Linked DNA regions of Tamandua tetradactyla. The protein of the gene in region 2 purifies or fractionates together with the protein of the main gene of each other region. This does not show direct contact. Links are inferred from orthologs where the notes say so. Each region holds a gene or a part of one and is shown on either strand. Other genes may lie near its edges.

Region 1 (7,286 bases), on a different chromosome or scaffold from region 2:
AACCTGTGGGACTTTGGGGGGGAGCTACAGGGGACCCCTGGGACTGCACAGAGCTGCTGGGCCCTAGCTCCTGCCGAGGCGATGTGGGGAGGAGGCCAGGGAGTCAGCAAGGGAGCCTCGAGTGCCCAGCCTGGCCCCGGGCACCCTTATCAGGCCCCATCACGGGGCCAGGTCACCTGTTTTTCTGTCTGGGGAAGATTAGATGCCTCTGGCCAGTTCCCAGGCAGTGCTGGAATCTGGTATCTGGTGGGGCACAGAGGTGGAGAGGGGGGTATCCCTGGGGGGGTGCAGCAGATCAGGCTCCGTCCCCCAGGGCCCCAGTTTCCCCATTTTTATGGGATCCCAACAGGCTCTCCCAGGGGACTGGGTTCTGCGAGCTTAGGCGTCAGTGATGCCTTCCTACCCCATGGCACGAGTGGGGTGGATTATTCAACCTGAGACCCACGAAGGTCGAAGGTCACTGCCCCTGCCTCCCTTCCCCCCTCCTTCTCCCCCTCCTCCTTGCCGGCACAACAGCACAAAGAGGCAGCTTCTATCCTCACCACTCCCGTTTTACAGACCCGTTTTACAGACCCGTAAAACCGAAGGTCCCAACTGCCTGGAGACTCCGGTGAGTCGGGGGAGGGGCAGGCCAAGGGCCAGGTTCCCTGACAAGGTTATCTGCCTTGGGGCTGTCCTGGAAACCTAAGCCACTTGTGGCCTCTGCCCAAGGGCTCACTCAGGTCTGTGTGTCGGCCAGGGTGGCCCAGAGCCAGCCTTCCAGTGAAGGTGAAGGGGGTAGCCTTGGCGAGTTAATACCTCCTCCGTCACGGCCTGAGGCCAGGGCACCCGCTGCTTATCAATCACTACTCAGACTGGGCTTCAGAATCCTTCTGAACACAGCCTGCTAGGCGCCTCTGTCAGCTGCATTAGGAAGTGCTCTGCATCCAAGGAAAATCACTTCTACTCAGAGAAAGAAGCACTTGCTCATGGTTACAGATGTGGCAATGGCTGGGCTGCCTCGCATCGCAAATATGTGTGAGTGGGGTACAGCCACCCACTGGGGCCCCTGCATAGCCTGCAGGGGCCAGGAAGGGGGTTCAGACAATGCTTGAGTTCCCTTCCGATGGTGAGATTCAACTCAGGTGAACAAGACTCAGCTGCACTTACTCCACCTCCCCAACACTCCCTGCACTTCTCCCAGCCCACAGAGACTCTGTTCTTGTCAGGAGGCTCAGAGAGGGTGAGCACCTCACTTGCAGATGCCCAGTGCAGCCAGGAAAGAGCCAGCTGTGAATGAGGACCTCCAGGCCAGCCTCAGAGGGACTCAGCCTCCTCTCAAGCTCTGTGACTACCCCTAGCCCATGCTCTCTCCGGCTCCCCATGGAGGCAACAGCAGGGGGCCCTGCTCCTCCTGGGGTGGGGGTGGGGGGTGGGAGGGGATGGTCAGAGCCATCCCAGGGGAGAACCAGTGAGAGAAAGTTCACCACCCCGCCGTCACCCCATGTCTGGGGAAGCTGCTGGCCAGGTCCAGGGAGCCTGGTACTGCCCCCCAACAATGCACAAAGAGCCATCAAGCCCTCTGTCACCCACTGGAGGACCCCTGTCAAGGGCCCCTCACCTTCTGGGCCTGGCTGATCATCTTTCTCACCACCTCCTTGATGTGGGCCTGCCCGTCGATGGGGGGCTGCATGTAGACCGTGGCCCGGGTCACCCCCCGGTAGGCGATGGTGTCAGGCCAGCCCAGGTCCAGCTGAGGGATGGAGCGGTCCGACTTCTGGGGCCAGTACTCCAGGGAGGGCAGCGGCTCCGCCTCGGTCAGGGTCCCGCCGCCCGCCCCGCTGGCCCCCTCGGCATGGCCGCCCGCGTCCCCCTCCTCGGGGCCCCCGCAGCGGCCAGCGGCGCGCGGGTCCTCGGAGCCGGGGTCGTACACCTGGATGGTGTCCAGGATGCGCTGGAGCTCGGGCTCGGAGAGGAAGTCGCGGATGTTCTCCCGCTGCAGCACCTCGCGGAAGGCGTCGGGGCCGCGCGCCACCAGGGCCTCCAGCGCCAGCCGCTGCCCCTCGCTGTAGAAGAACTCGGGCTTGGCCTCGCTCGAGCGCCAGTTCACGTGGCCGTCGTCCAGGCACTGCACCTGGGAGAAGGCCATGGTGCCGGCCGCGGGCAGCCGAGCCCGGCGGGGCGGGAGCCTAATTCCGGGCCCCGGCGGGGGCGCACGGCGCGCTCTGGGGCCGCCCGGCTGCCTCTGCGCCTCTGTCCATAGAAACCTGCGGGGAAGACCCGGTGAGGGCAGGGGCCGGGGGCGGGGCGCGCCGGGGCGGGTCGGGGGCTGGGGGGGTGGGGGCGGGCTGGCGTGGGGGGGTGGGAGGGGCTGGGCAGAGATGGGGACTGTGTGTGTGTGTGTGTGTGTGTGTGTGTGTGTGTGTGTGTAGAGGGTGAGAGTGGGGGTCCGAGATGGGGACTGTGTGTGTGTGTGTGTGTGTGTGTGTGTGTGTGTGTGTAGAGGGTGAGAGTGGGGGTCCGAGATGGGGACTGTGTGTGTGTGTGTGTGTGTGTGTGTGTGTAGAGGGTGAGAGTGGGGGTCCGAGGCCGGCGCGAGGGGACCCGTGTGCCTGGGTTTTGGGGTGCCAGGGGATTTCCGGAGCTCCCCGAAGTCTCAGGCAACTTCCAAGGGAAATGAGGGCAGGCTCGGGACTTCCCAAAGTTTCCAGGATTTGGGGAGCAAGAGCCTGAACTCTGGGGTCTCTGGCCTGGCCCAGCGGGCTCCGCATTTCTGGGCGCTCCTGGGAAAGGATCTCGAGATCCCAGGGTGCTAGGCATCGGAGAGCCGTAGGGCCTTCCTGGAGGGGTCCGGGGCCGGGGGACGGGTCTGGGAGCCCCGGAAGGGCGGCTGGCCGGCGGCAGCGCCTGGCGGGGGGTCCCCGGGGGTCGCGGGCGGGGTTCACTTACCGGCAGGAGCTGGCGCGGGCACAGAGCAGACTGGAGGGGTACCGCGCGGCGGCTGGGCGCGGAGGCGGTGGCGGGGGGCGGGCCCGGGCCACTGTCGCTCCGCCCATCCCGCCGGCGGCCACCTGCGGTCACATGCCTCCGGGAGGCGGGGCCGGAAGCTGATTCACCGGCAGACGTTGGGCGGGTGTGCACACCTTCTCTTAGCTGCCCCACCCACCCCCGGTGCGGGCAGCCCACGGAGCTCGGGGGTCCAAGGGCAGGAGCTCCTCGGAACACTGCGACCCAGAGAGGGTCAGTGCGCTCCCTGAGGTCACACAGCGAGTCGACGGCCTTGGAGTCCCTGCTCTGTCCCCAGGCCTTGCAAGTGGGACGGGAAGGCTGTGGGGGCTGTGTCTGCCTTGGGAGCCCCAAGGCAAGAGTAATGCAAGGTCTGGCTAACCAACCAGGAGGGTGTGTGGGGGGAGCTTTAGCTGTAGGATAGAGCAGGTACCAGTTCTGAGGCCTGAGCCCTCGGGGAAGGCGTCACCAGGGACCCTCCCCAACCCCGAGGGGGGCGGGGCACAGGCTGTGGTGGGTTGGGTGAGGCCCGCCTCTCCGCAGGCGTCCCCAGGGCTTGGGGACCCTGGTTATGGGGGCGGGGGCACATTTGAAGGCAGGCTGCCAGGGTGGGGACGCAAAGCCCATTAAACCTGGCCACCAGGTTCGTTGCATGCCACAGCCAGTCAGCCAGGCGCCGGGGCAGCCGCCCCCCACCCCCACCCCAGGTGCCTTGTATCCAAGCAGGGCTCAGGCCTCTTGGATCAAGGGAGGGGATGGGGGCCTGTTCGGTGAGGGTGGGAGACCTGGTCCCAGGTCCAGCAGTCCTCTGGTGTGTCCCTAGGACTCCAACCTGAGAGCACCGCACCCCAGGTTTGAACTGGAGTCGGACCCTCCCTGCCATCCACTGTCAGGCTTCTCCTCCTGCACACTCTCCTGCCCCAGCACCCCTGGACCCAGCACCTGCAACCTCTCCTGCCCCAGTGCCCCTGGGTCCCCCTCCCTGACCTCCAGTCTCAAGTCTTCCCTGCCACTCGGCCCCCTCCCAGGCCCCAGGGGTTGCTCGCTATCTCTGCACTCGGCAATAACCTGTGCATAGGGAGAGATTAACAGGAAGTTCTCAGAAAATGAGCAGAGGGGTCCCTGACCCCTCCATCCAGCTCCCCAGCGGTCACAGCTTACATAACTAGATGCAACATCAAGCCAGGAAAATGACCTTGGCACAACCCACAGACCTTATTCAGATGCCACCCATCTCCCAGGCACTCATTTGCGTGTGTGCGTTTGTGGAGTTTGAAGCCATTTTATCACATTTGTAGATTTGTGTAATTATCATCACAGCCCAGACATGGAGTTGTTCCTCTACCACAAAAATCTCCCTCGTGCCCCTTTAGAGCCATCCCCCCGTCTCTCCCTCTGCCTGCCCACAGCCCTAATTCCTGACAACCACTAATTTTCCCTCCCTCTCTATAATTTTGTTATTTCCAGAGTGTTATATAAATGCAATCATAAGTATGGAAACTTTGGGGATTGGCTTTTTTTTTTTTTACCCCATCCACAGAAGATTCATCCTGGATGTCGCGTCTGTCATTATTAGATCTTTCCTTTTCATTGCTGCATAGTATTCTGCGGTAAGATTGACAGACTGCAGTTTCTTTAACTGTTCGCCTGCCAAAGGACATTTGAGTTCTTCCCACGTGGGGCTATTACATATAAAGGTGCCGTGAACATTCCAGTACAGGTTTTCTCTGGGACAAACGCCCAAATGTGTGAGTGCTGGGTCATCCGATAACTGCCTGTGTTGTTTTGCTTTGTTTTGTTTAAAGAAACTGCGAAACTGCTCTCTAGGGTGGCTATATCATTTTACGTTCCCCCCAGCAATGTTCGCATCATCCAATTTCTCCACATCCTCACCAGCATTGGGTGTTATCCCTATTTTTAATTCTAGCTATTTTGATAGGTGCAGAGTGACGTCTCATTGTGGTTTTAATTTTCATTGTCCTTGTGGCTAATGATGCTGCATGTTTATTTCATGTGTTTATTTGTCATGTGTATGACATGACACCATGCCTCTTTGGTGAAATGTCTGTTCGTGTCTTGTGTCCATTTTTTAACTGGATTGTTTGGGGTTTTTTAGAGTTGAGTATTGAGAATTCTTTATATATTTTAGAGAGATGGCCCTTGCCGGGTCTGTGGTATGAAGAGATTTTCTCCAGGCAGTTAGTTTGGCTTTTCACCCTCCGCGCAAGGCCTCATGCAGAGCTAAAAAAAAGTTTTTAATTTTGATGAGGTCCAATTTATCAACTTTTATTTAAGGATCATGCTTTTGGTGTTAATTCTAAGAACTCTTTGTCTAGCCGTCCATCTGAAGATTTTTTCTGCATGTTTTTCTTATTCTAAAAGAAAAAAAATTGACCCGCTCCATTTTGAGTTAATTTTTATATAAGGTGTGAAATTTATGACGAGGGTAATTTTTTCTTTTTCTGCATGTGTGGCCTACGGGTGTCCACAGAGGATTTTTACACGGGAGGGACCAGCCTCGGAGAGTTTAGAGAATCAGTCGGATCACACAGCTCTGGAGGGGAGAGCCGGCCTCAAACCCAGGTCTGCTGGAGCCTTTGGCCTGGCCCCAGCGGCCTCGGGGATGGGCCGACTTGTTGGGGGAGAGGAGGGCAGGCAGCCCACCACCCTCCCCACGGCCCACCCTGGGCCTCCTTGGGAGAAGATCATTCAGTCAGTCAACAAATGCTGACGGAGGTTGGCTGTGTCCAAGACCCCAGAGTCGTTGTGGTGGGGGAGACAGGACAGACATGGGGCAAGAGCTATGGGTGCCGGGTCAATGTTGCTCTGAGGCCCTGGGAGCTCAGACTCGCCCCGTGAGAGGAGGAGAATGAGCATACATGCCCTGGGTTTGCAGGCTGGAACGGTGTTCTGGGAGTGGAACCAGCAAACACAGACGCCCAGAGGTGGTGGTGGAGGTGGCAGGGTGAGGGTGCTGGCGAGGGTGCAGGGATTTGAATGCATGCGGAGAGACTTCAGTGCCATCTGCAGGGGAGGGAGAGCCCCAGAAGGGTTGTGAGCTGGTGGTTTTAGAATTCCTGCAGCTGAGTCGAAGGCTCCTGGTGGGCAACAGAAAGCTGCAAGGAGCTGGCACGGAGGCCCCCGGGACCGAGTGCAGTGGCTGACCTTGGGTTCTGGCAGTGGGGATGGAGGACATGGGCAAGGAAGGGGCAGCTCCCTGGCTGCTGGTGGGGGCCCTGACCGGGTGGGGTTGGATGCAGAACCAGAGCCCCATGGGAGAGCCCCCAGGCCTGCACGCCCAGAAGACCCTCCCCAGCTCCCCAGTCATTATGGCCTGTGGGTGCTCACGGCTGAGCTGGCAAACCCAGGGAATTTTGTTGAAATGGCAGCAGGACCCGCAGCCTCTGTGAAGGAGGAGGTCCTTTCTTTCCCTGCGGCATGAACATGAGCTGGCAGTGCCCAGGGGGCGGTGCCCAGTGCCAGGAGTCAGGAAAAGGCTGAATAAACTTGGGAAGAATCTACTGACTCGGGTTTTCTGAGCCATTATGTGGCTGCGATGCCTCACCTGTCCCTCCCAGGGCCAGAGTCAGCCTGTCTAGCTCAGCGCCCATCAGGAGGGCCCAGTGGCCTCAGATGCCTGTGTGACCTGGGCAAGTTGTGCCCCTTTTGGCCCAGAATCCCCCACTTACAGAACTGGCAGGGTGGATTTAGTAGTGTCAGGCAGCTGGATCAAACGGTACCTGAACTCCTTCCTGGCTCTCTCTAGGTTCCTTTCTCTCTCTCCTCCTCTCCATCCTCCCCTCCATTCACTCACTTACTCACTCATTCATTCAATAAATGTTCCCCAGTGTCTCCGCTGGGCCCAGCCCTGGGCTGGGCGATACCAGGGACTCACGATGATTCAAACTGAGTGTCTGCTCCTGGGGAGCTCGTGGGGTGGTGGGGGAGGTGAAGAATGTAAACAAACAACCCTGATTCAGCCCTGGCCATGCTCTGCTGGAGCGCAAGGAAGGAAGCTGCCGTGCTTGGGGTGGGGGGAGCAGAGGTCCTCAGAGGACAAGCCCTTTGCGACTGGGCCTGGACTTCTGCCATAAACAAGGGTGGAGGTGGGCATTAGGCAGGCTGGCCCAGCGGGATGGGGGGTGGGGGTGGGGGTGGGGAGGCGGCAGAGTGCTGGGCGGGCAGGCGTGAGAAAATGCAAGCAGGTCAGGGTGGCTGGAGCCTGGGGCCAGGATGTGAGGGGCTGGACCAGGTGTCAAGGGCCTTGAATGCCCTGGAAAGTTTCCCCCACCTCATCCCAG
Region 2 (10,651 bases):
AAAAGAATGATTAAGGAGGTCAAGGGAAGTGTGTCAAGAAGCAGGAATGGTGATGGGTGGCAAATGCTACAGAAAGCACACTATGGTGAAAAACATGTAACAACAGATGTAGTGATGAAGCAATATTTAAGCTCCTGAGCAATGATTTTAGGAGTGAATGGATGGTGAGAAATTTGAGATTAAGACTACTCTTTCCAGAAGCTATCAAGACAAAAAGGGAAGGCTGGAGAAAACAGAGCAATTTTTCTTTTTTAAAGGTTGAAGAGACAGCACTTAAGATGTTTAGTGAAGATGACTAATTATCAAGCATGGTGTTCAATGCGAGGTATATAAAGAAAGAAAAAGAAACTATTTACATTAAAAGGGAATGACAACAAAGAATTCATTAAAAAATAATAATAATAAATGAAATGACCAAGTTTTCTCTGGAACTCTCCAAAAGACCTTTCATGTTTCTTCCACCTCTGCCAATCCCTTAGCTAGATTAGAGGTTAACTAGGCAACCATGATAAAATGGGATTCCCCTGCTCCCAAATTTCATGAGAATTTTTGACTGTGCACGTCTATAGATTCTCTAAGGAGTGATCTATGGCTTTCTTTCATCCAATTAGTAAAGCAGTGCCTGACTTTAAAAAGGTCAAAACAGACCAATTTAGATTTTCTAGGCAGTCAGTCCATCAGGATACATTCATATGCCAACAAATCAATTCAACCAACAGAATGAGAATTCAAATAAGTCTCCACAAGGACAAACCTTTGGTTTCCTCTTTTTTATTCTTGTGTGTGCATCTATTTCAAATGATCATACTAAACATGAAAGATGATCAAGTCTAGGGCTGTTTACATTCTCTGGAATACCAGAATAAAACAATAGTAAGAAAAGAATACTTTGCACCAGCCACTACTAAGAAATACTCAAGAAACAAAAACCTTTGCTGCTTACATTCTAACAGGGAAGACAAAGCAATGAGTTAAACGAGGTACCCAAAGAATAACTGAAAGATGAAACAAAACATGCAAGTGATGTACAATTTGAGGTAATGTCAAAATACCTTCAATAATACCCAAGAAAGTTGAGTAGAAGTAGTGAGGTTTTAAACAGAACAAGAGGATTCATTAATTAAATATTTGGGAAACCACTAGGTCAAAGCACTGGTAAATGCTGTGGAAAATACAAACCCTGGAATCCACCCTCAGTGGGGCTTTCCATCTTTCTTTTTCAGCTAAAAAAGGTTTTAGTCTCATGTTCACAAGGCTAGAGCTGAAAGGAGTTAAGAGGTATAGAGTTCAAGCCTACTCACCTTGAGAGGAGGAAAAGCTCAGGAAGCTGAGTGCTTCTCCAGCCTGGGGCATCCAAGCCTCTCTTTGTAATGCAAAGTGTACAAGCTTTGCAGGCTCAAAGATCTTGAGGTGCAAATTCAGATTCTGCCAAGTCCTGGGCCTTGGCTCTCTCATCCCTAAAAGGGAGATGATGATAATACCAACTTCTCAGGTAGGTATCACTCCTTTCCTTTTCTTTTCCTACTATACTATAAATGTTAAATGATATAACTAAAAGGCTGAAATGGTACCCAATTAACTCAGAAACATATTGTTTGTGATGACAGACATCAAGGAAATAAAGGACTCAGAAAGCAGGGACTGGGGTGGTAAAAGAGAACATACAGGGATAACATTAGCATATAATTTTCAAAACAAACTCACAATGAGAAGTGATCAAAATAGAATATAAGTTCTTAAAGGAAAGGACAGAACTGGTAGAAAGACTTCTTTTACCAGTCAGCCAGTTGCTCTAATGCCCCAGGGCAACTCCGCACTTGACAGAAGTGTGCCGCATGAGACAATTACTAGATTACAATAAAGCACGTTGGTTTTTTTTTTAATCTTTTTCTTTTTAATACACTTTCTGTATTCCCATGATTCTGTTTCCAGTCCTCCTTTCATCTTCCTAACAACATAATAAGAAAACCAAAGGCCTTCCTTGTCCACTAAACCTTGAAAAGTTGAAATATAGCAAGTAAATTGAAACTGAAACATAGCAAGCAAACTGATAAAGAACATGGCCTTTGCAGTCAAACAGATCTTGGTTCAAATCCTAGTTCCAACCTGAGTCATGAACCCAAGTATCATAACAATACCTTAGGCTCTAGGCTCTACCTACTCATTTGTTGTAAGAATTAAATAAATGAACACTCAGGAAAATATCTAATACACAGTAAGCATGCCAAGTCACATATCTCAAATGTCACCTTCCCTGTGAAATACAACCCCCAAGTAGAATTAATACAGTTTTTTCTAAACTCCCAATGAGGAACTGCCATGTGTGTTCCTTCCTCAAATTCTCCCTTTCCCTCACCACCGAGAGGGTGGAAACCTTAAGGGCCAGGACTTCCTCCCTAGCCCCAATCTTACCCAGTGCCTGACCTATAGGAAGATTCCAATGTGGGGTTATGGAACCAATTTGAATCAGAGTTGTATTATATCCTACCAGCTAGGAAACTGTCTGTTCTAGTTTGCTAGCTGTTGGAATGTGATATACATCTAGGGATTAGAAGAAACCGTTGCTCCCACAAGACTGACTGGGATTAAAACATGGCTTTTCTAAGGTACATAAATCCTTCCAAACCAGCACACTGTCCAGAGAGAAAATCTCAAGGGATGAGCTGTGGAAAAGGAAGAAATCCAAAATATCCCCAATTGTGGATAATAATCTATCATGTATGTGATAATTATATTCATGATGTCTCTAGATTCAATCTAATCCTGTCCAAATGCTTGGGCTGTGATCATTTTGAGGAATGATGAGTTCCCAAAGTACGTGTCATATAAAATAAAAGAGCACTTTTTGTTATTCACCTTAAGTTTACCTCTTTCTATACTCTAGGAAAGTCTCTATTATATATATTAGCTCACTCCTTCTTGCTTCTTTGCCCAAATAGTGGCCTAACAGGAGCATGTAGGACTAAAGACTATATAGCCCCACTTGTAAAGTTTAAGTGGCACCTAAAAGGTAATTTATTTTAAAGGTGAATTATACATATTTGGAAATGGATAGCACAATACCATGTGATGGCAGAACACTACTGTGAGTGTAATTAACAAGGCTGAGCATGAGTATGGTTGAAAAGGGAAGACTAGGGTCATGTATGTCACCAGAAGGAAAGCTGAAGGATAAAGTTTAGAATTTATAACATAGTGAAATCTACAGCACACAATGATTGTGGTTAATTGCACAAATTTAAGAAAGTTTTTACATGAACCAGAACAAATGTACCTCACTAATACAAGATGTTAATAACAGTGTGGTATATGGAAAAAAATAAATTAATGCAAACTGAAGATTATAGTTAACAGTAACACTGTAATATGCTTTCATTAACTGTAACAAAGGCACTATACTAAAGCTAAACATCGATAATAGGGGTGTGAACCTTGTATCTGATGCTCCTTTTATCTACCTTGTCAACAGACGAGTAGAACATATGGAATAAAAATAAATAACGGGGGAACAAATGTTAAAATAAATTTAGTATGAAATAATAGGGGTGTGTAAGGGGTATGGGATATTTTTTCCTAGAAGAAAGAAGAATATTTTCATACTAACTGTGGTAGTGAATGCATTAACTATGTGATTATACCTACAGTCATTGATTGTACACTTAGGATGGATTGTTTGATGTGTGAATAAAACTGTTAAAGAAAAAAGAAAAACAGACAATTCCTTTAAGAAGGAGGAAAAAAATGCATTTGGCAATCTTCCCCTTATACCTTTTAGACCATATTAAACAGCATTAGAAGCACACAGACTTTAAAACTTTGGTAGAATGCAGCTGCAAAATGGTCTGAGTTACTGCTTTCTCTTTATTCTTTTATTGAAATCGATAAAGTTTAAGATTTCTATTTAAAAAAAGGATAATTTTTTTAGACGTTCCTAACTTAATAAGGACCCTTAATTCCCACTTTACAAAAATGCAAATCTGTGAAATCTCTAGCACACAGAAGTTTCACCCTACTTTCCAAAGACTCAGTGGCAGACCTGCAAATTAAGTGAAATAAAATGGTCACCAGCATTGGTGGGAGGAACCCCTTTTTGAGAAAGGATTTTCTGGAAACAAAAACAATGGACCCACCAGGGGCATCTAAGAAAATGGAACAATGGAATATATCTGTAGAACTGCAGATAAGCAATACCTGGTAATAGACCAGTTTCAGTCTAGTAAAATAGCTTATCAGAATGGACAAGCATACCACACTAGCCAATGCATATCTTTTTTTTTTTAATAATATCTTTTTATTATTTTTATTTTTAGGGAAGGAAAAAGCGAAGAAAAAGAGAATGAGAAAGAGAGACACTAAAAGAGAGAAAAACAGAGGAAAGGAGAAGAGAGAAAGGAGGGAGAGGAGGAGGGGGGAAGGAAGAAAGTAATGTTGGCAGCTAAGCATCACATTTCCCATCTGTCCCCAAATTCTTCACCCAGGTCATACTAGAGTAAAATATCAGAGAAGCTGCACTGACTTTCCATGTTGGAGCTGACCACTTCTTAGCCTATTATTCAAAGCAACTCATAAAGTTCGCCTGAGCCTTGACATTGTCATCTTTACCAGAGTCATAATATCAAGATTATATAGTTTCTATCCTTTCTTGTCTAGCTTATTTCACTGAGGATAATGTTCTCAAAGTTCATCCACGTTGCCATATGCTTCGGGACCTCATTTCATCTTATTGCTGCATAGAACTCTATTAAATGTATTTCCACATTTTATTTATCCATTAGTCTGTTGATGGACACTGGGACTGCTTCCATCTTTTAGCAATTGCAAATAGTGCTGCTATGAACATCCAGTGTGCTAATATCTGTTTGTGTCACTTCTTTCAGAGTCAATGTATATCTTCCATTTAAAATAGAAACTTAATGTCAGCCAAACAGAACATTTCTTCATTTACTTTTGTGTTTGTTCTATATAAGTTCCCCCTTCTCACCACTCAGTAGAGCTCCTTTACACATATGGTTTTGATGCTGCCCAATTCATGAATGATAAACACCTCAAATAAACTCCCATAATTAATATTTTATCTAATATTTTTAACAGTTTTGGTGTCAAAAGTGGGATCTGGGGTTCCAGGAGCCATGTTGGGAGGGGCGACACAGCCTCCGCAGCTCCAGTTGCAGTGCCCTTCCCGGTTCCCCCAACCTAACAGAACAGTTACTGGGGGAGTGGAGACAATACAGAGCAGCTCCCGGAGCCACGACGGAGATCAAAGGGACGGCGTACCCCATCCTGGAACGGCTGACTGTCTGGGAGAACCAGCTCCAGTGAGATCACCGAGGGGCGCGGGCTTTCCCGGGCGGGACGGCAAACGGCTGGAGTCCCTCCCTTCCTCCTTCCCAGGCCAGCTGGCAGAATTGGGCAGGCGGTCCCCTTGGGCCACGGCGGCTGGCGCCCGCACCATGCAAGGCCCCCCGGACCAACTGAGAGAGTTGGGTCGGAAATCCCCAGACTGCGGAGAACAGTGACCGGGGGGTCCCTTCAAAACACGTGACTCCCCGGTCAGGCTGGGAACAGTGCACTCTCCCGGGCTGCAACAGCTGGCACCCTCCCACCACGCTTGGCACCCCGGGCCGACTAGGAAATTCGGTCGGGCGCTCTCCCGTGCTGCAGCGGCCGGCGACCCTCCCTGCGTTCGGACCCCCGGGCCGGCTGGCACTCTTCCAAGACGCTTCGGCTGCTGAACCTCCCCTACGGCGAGAGTCTTTCAGAGTTAAAGGACCCACAGCAACTTTCGCTGGTGGAACCCGTAGACAAACGTGTGCCACGAGCGCCACCTACTGGGCAGGATAAGAAAAACAGAACCCAGAGATTTCACAGAAAAATCTTTCAACCTGTGGGGTCCAACACCCAGGGAAATCTGACTAAATGTCCAGACGCCAGCAGAAGATAACGGATCACGCTCAGAAAATTGAAAATATGGCCCAGTCAAAGGAACAAACCAATAGTTCAAATGATACAGGAGCTGAAACAACTGATGCTGAATATACGAACAGAAATGGAAAACCTCTTCAAAAACGAAATCGATAAATTGAGGGAGGACATGAAGAAGACATGGGCTGATCAAAAAGAAGAAACAGAAAAACTGAAAAAACAAATCACAGAGCTTATGGAAGTGAAGGATAAAGTAGAAAACATGGAAAAAACAATGGATACCTACAATGATAGATTTAAAGAGACAGAAGATAGAATTAGTGATTTGGAGGATGGAACATCTGAATTCCAAAAAGAAACAGAAATTATCCGGAAAAGAATGGAAAAATTTGAACAGGGTATCAGGAAACTCAAGGACAATGTGAATCGCACAAATATACGTGTTGTGGGTGTCCCAGAAGGAGAAGAGAAGGGAAAAGGAGGAGAAAAACTAATGGAAGAAATTATCACTGAAAATTTTCCAACTCTTATGAAAGACCTAAAATTACAGATCCAAGAAGTGCAGCACACCCCAAAGAGATTAGACCCAAATAGGCGTTCCCCAAGACACTTACTAGTTAGAATGTCAGAGGTCAAAGAGAAAGAGAGGATCTTGAAAGCAGCGAGAGAGAAGCAATCCATCACATACAAGGGAAACCCAATAAGACTATGTGTAGATTTCTCAGCAGAAACCATGGAAGCTAGAAGACAGTGGGATGATATATTTAAGTTACTAAAAGAGAAAAACTGCCAACCAAGACTCCTATATCCAGCAAAATTGTCCTTCAAAACTGAGGGAGAAATTAAAACATTCTCAGACAAAAAGTCACTGAGAGAATTTGTGACCAAGAGACCAGCTCTGCAAGAAATACTAAAGGGAGCACTAGAGTCAGATACAAAAAGACAGAAGAGAGAGACATGGAGAAGAGTGTAGAAAGAAGGAAAGTCAGATATGATATATATAATACAAAAGGCAAAATGGTAGAGGAAAATATTATCCAAACAGTAATAACTCTAAATGTTAATGGACTGAATTCCCCAATCAAAAGACATAGACTGGCAGAATGGATTAAAAAAACAGGATCCTTCTATATGCTGTCTACAGGAAACACATCTTAGACCCAAAGATAAATATAGGCTGAAAGTGAAAGGTTGGGAAAAGATATTTCATGCAAATAACAACCAGAAAAGAGCAGGAGTAGCTATACTAATATCCAACAAATTAGACTTCAAATGTAAAACAGTTAAAAGAGACAAAGAAGGACACTTATACTAATAAAAGGAACAATTAAACAAGAAGACATAACAATCATAAATATTTACGCACCGAACCAGAATGCCCCAAAATACGTGAGGAATACACTGCAAACACTGAAAAGGGAAATAGACACATATACCATAATAGTTGGAGACTTCAATTCACCACTCTCATCAATGGACAGAACATCTAGACAGAGGATCAATAAAGAAATAGAGAATCTGAATATTACTATAAATGAGCTAGACTTAACAGACATTTATAGGACATTACATCCCACAACAGCAGGATACACCTTTTTTTCAAGTGCTCATGGATCATTCTCAAAGATAGACCATGTGCTGGGTCACAAAGCAAGTCTTAACAAATTTAAAAAGATTGAAATCATACACAACACTTTCTCGGATCATAAAGGAATGAAGTTGGAAATCAATAATAGGCGGAGTGCCAGAAAATTCACAAATACATGGAGGCTCAACAACACACTCTTAAACAACGAGTGGGTCAAAGAAGAAATTGCAAGAGAAATTAGTAAATACCTAGAGGCGAATGAAAATGAAAACACAACATATCAAAACTTATGGGACGCAGCAAAGGCAGTGCTAATAGGGAAATTTATTGCCCTAAATGCCTTTATCAGAAAAGAAGAAAAGGCAAAAATGCAGGAATTACCTGTCCACTTGGAAGAACTGGAGAAAGAACAGCAAACTAATCCCAAAGCAAGCAAAAGGAATGAAATAACAAAGATTAGAACAGAAATAAATGAAATTGAGAACATGAAAACAATAGAGAAAATCAATAAGACCAGAAGTTGGTTCTATGAGAAAATCAATAAGACTGATGGGCCCTTAGCAAGATTGACAAAAAGAAGAAGAGAGGGGAAGCAAATAAATAAGATCAGAAATGGAAGAGGAGACATAACTATTCACCTCACAGAAATAAAGGAGGTAATAACAGGATACTATGAACAACTTTACGCTAATAAATACAACAATTTAGATGAAATGGACGGGTTCCTGGAAAGACATGAACAACCAACTTTGACTCAAGAAGAAATAGATGACCTCAACAAACCAATCACAAGTAAAGAGATTGAATTAGTCATTCAAAAGCTCCCTAAAAAGAAAAGTCCAGGACCAGACGGCTTCACATGTGAATTCTATCAAACATTCCAGAAAGAATTAGTACCAACTCTCCTCAAACTCTTCAAAATAATCGAAGTGGAGGGAAAACTACCTAATTCATTCTATGAAGCCAACATCACCCTCGTACCAAAACCAGGAAAAGATATTACAAAAAAAGAAAACTACAGACCAATCTCTCTAATGAATATAGATGCAAAAATCCTCAATAAAATTCTAGCAAATCGTATCCAACAACACATTAAAAGAATTATACATCATTACCAAGTAGGATTCATCCCAGGTATGCAAGGATGGTTCAACATAAGAAAATCAATTAATGTAATACACCACATCAACAAATCAAAGCAGAAAAATCACATGATCATCTCAATTGATGCAGAGAAGGCATTTGACAAGATTCAACATCCTTTCCTGTTGAAAACACTTCAAAATATAGGAATACAAGGGAACTTCCTTAAAATGATAGAGGGAATATATGAAAAACCCACAGCTAATATCATCCTCAATGGGGAAAAATTGAAAACTTTCCCCCTAAGATCAGGAACAAGACAAGGATGTCCACTATCACCACTATTATTCAACATTGTGTTGGAAGTTCTAGCCAAAGCAATTAGACAAGAAAAAGAAATACAAGGCATCAAAATTGGAAAGGAAGAAGTAAAACTATCACTATTTGCAGACGATATGATACTATACGTAGAAAACCAGGAAAAATCCACAACAAAATTACTAGAGCTAATAAATGAGTACAGCAAAGTAGCAGGCTACAAGATCAACATTCAACAATCTGTAGCTTTTCTATACACTAGTAATGAACAAGCTGAGGGGGAAATCAAGAAACGAATCCCATTTACAATCGCAACTAAAAGAATAAAATACCTAGGAATAAATTTAACCAAAGAGATAAAAAACCTATATAAAGAAAACTACAAAAAAACTGCTAAAAGAAATCACAGAAGACCTAAATAGATGGAAGGGCATACCATGTTCATGGATTGGAAGATTAAATATAATTAAGATGTCAATCCTACCTAAACTGATCTACAGATTCAACGTAATACCAATCAAAATCCCAACAACTTATTTTTCAGAATTATTAAAACCAATTAGCAAATTTATCTGGAAGGGCAGGTTGCCCCGAATTGCCAAAAACATTGAGGAAAAAAAACGAAGCTGGAGGTCTCGCGATGCCGGACTTTAAGGCATATTATGAAGCCACAGTGGTCAAAACAGCATGGTATTGGCATAAAGATAGATATATCGACCAATGGAATCGAATAGAGTGCTCAGATATAGACCCTCTCATCTATGGACATTTGATCTTTGATAAGGCAGTCAAGCCAACTCACCTGGGACAGAACAGTCTCTTCAATAAATGGTGCCTAGAGAACTGGATATCCATTTGTAAAAGAATGAAAGAAGACCCGTATCTCACACCCTATACAAAAGTTAACTCAAAATGGATCAAAGATCTAAATATTAGGTCTAAGACCATAAAACAGTTAGAGGAAAATGTAGGGAGATATCTTATGAATCTTACAACTGGAGGCAGTTTTATGGACCTTAAACCTAAAGCAAGAGCACTGAAGAAAGAAATAAATAAATGGGAGCTCCTCAAAATTAAACACTTTTGTGCATCAAAGAACTTCATCAAGAAAGCAGAAAGACAGCCTACACAATGGGAGATAATATTTGGAAATGACATATCAGATAAAGGTCTAGTATCCAGAATTTATAAAGAGATTGTTCAACTCAACAACAAAAAGACAGCCAACCCAATTACAAAATGGGAAAAAGACTTAAACAGACACCTACCAGAAGAGGAAATACGGATGGCCAAGAGGCACATGAAGAGATGCTCAATGTCCCTGGCCATTAGAGAAATGCAAATCAAAACCACAATGAGATTATCACCTCACACCCACCAGAATGGCCATTATCAACAAAACAGAAAATGACAAGTGCTGGAGAGGATGCGGAGAAAGAGGCACACTTATCCACTGTTGGTGGGAATGTCAAATGGTGCAACCACTGTGGAAGGCAGTTTGGCGGTTCCTCAAAAAGCTGAATATAGAATTGCCATACGACCCAGCAAAGGTATCTTTGAGTAGATACCTTTGCTAGGTATCTACTCAAAGGACTTAAGGGCAAAGACACAAACGGACATTTGCACACCAATGTTTATAGCAGCGTTATTTACAATTGCAAAGAGATGGAAACAGCCAAAATGTCCATCAACAGAAGAATGGCTAAACAAACTGTGGTATATACATACGATGGAATATTA

What was found.
Region 1: the proteins of VAPB (region 2) and FAM83G purify together in Homo sapiens (affinity purification with mass spectrometry; 3 studies listed by BioGRID and IntAct, counting the BioPlex papers as one, with this or other methods). This does not show direct contact. The link is inferred for Tamandua tetradactyla from reciprocal best matches to the Homo sapiens genes VAPB and FAM83G.

The regions. Positions count from the first base shown.
Region 1 is NC_135332.1:2,152,041-2,159,326, forward strand, and holds the start of FAM83G (protein FAM83G), read right to left. Parts: upstream 3,001-7,286; 5' UTR 2,929-3,000; intron 2,247-2,928; 5' UTR 2,129-2,246; coding exon 1,601-2,128; intron 1-1,600. UniProt on the Homo sapiens protein: Substrate for type I BMP receptor kinase involved in regulation of some target genes of the BMP signaling pathway. Also regulates the expression of several non-BMP target genes, suggesting a role in other signaling pathways.
Region 2 is NC_135327.1:27,002,511-27,013,161, forward strand, and holds the start of VAPB (vesicle-associated membrane protein-associated protein B/C), read right to left. Parts: upstream 4,257-10,651; 5' UTR 1,456-4,256; coding exon 1,302-1,455; intron 1-1,301. UniProt on the Homo sapiens protein: Endoplasmic reticulum (ER)-anchored protein that mediates the formation of contact sites between the ER and endosomes via interaction with FFAT motif-containing proteins such as STARD3 or WDR44.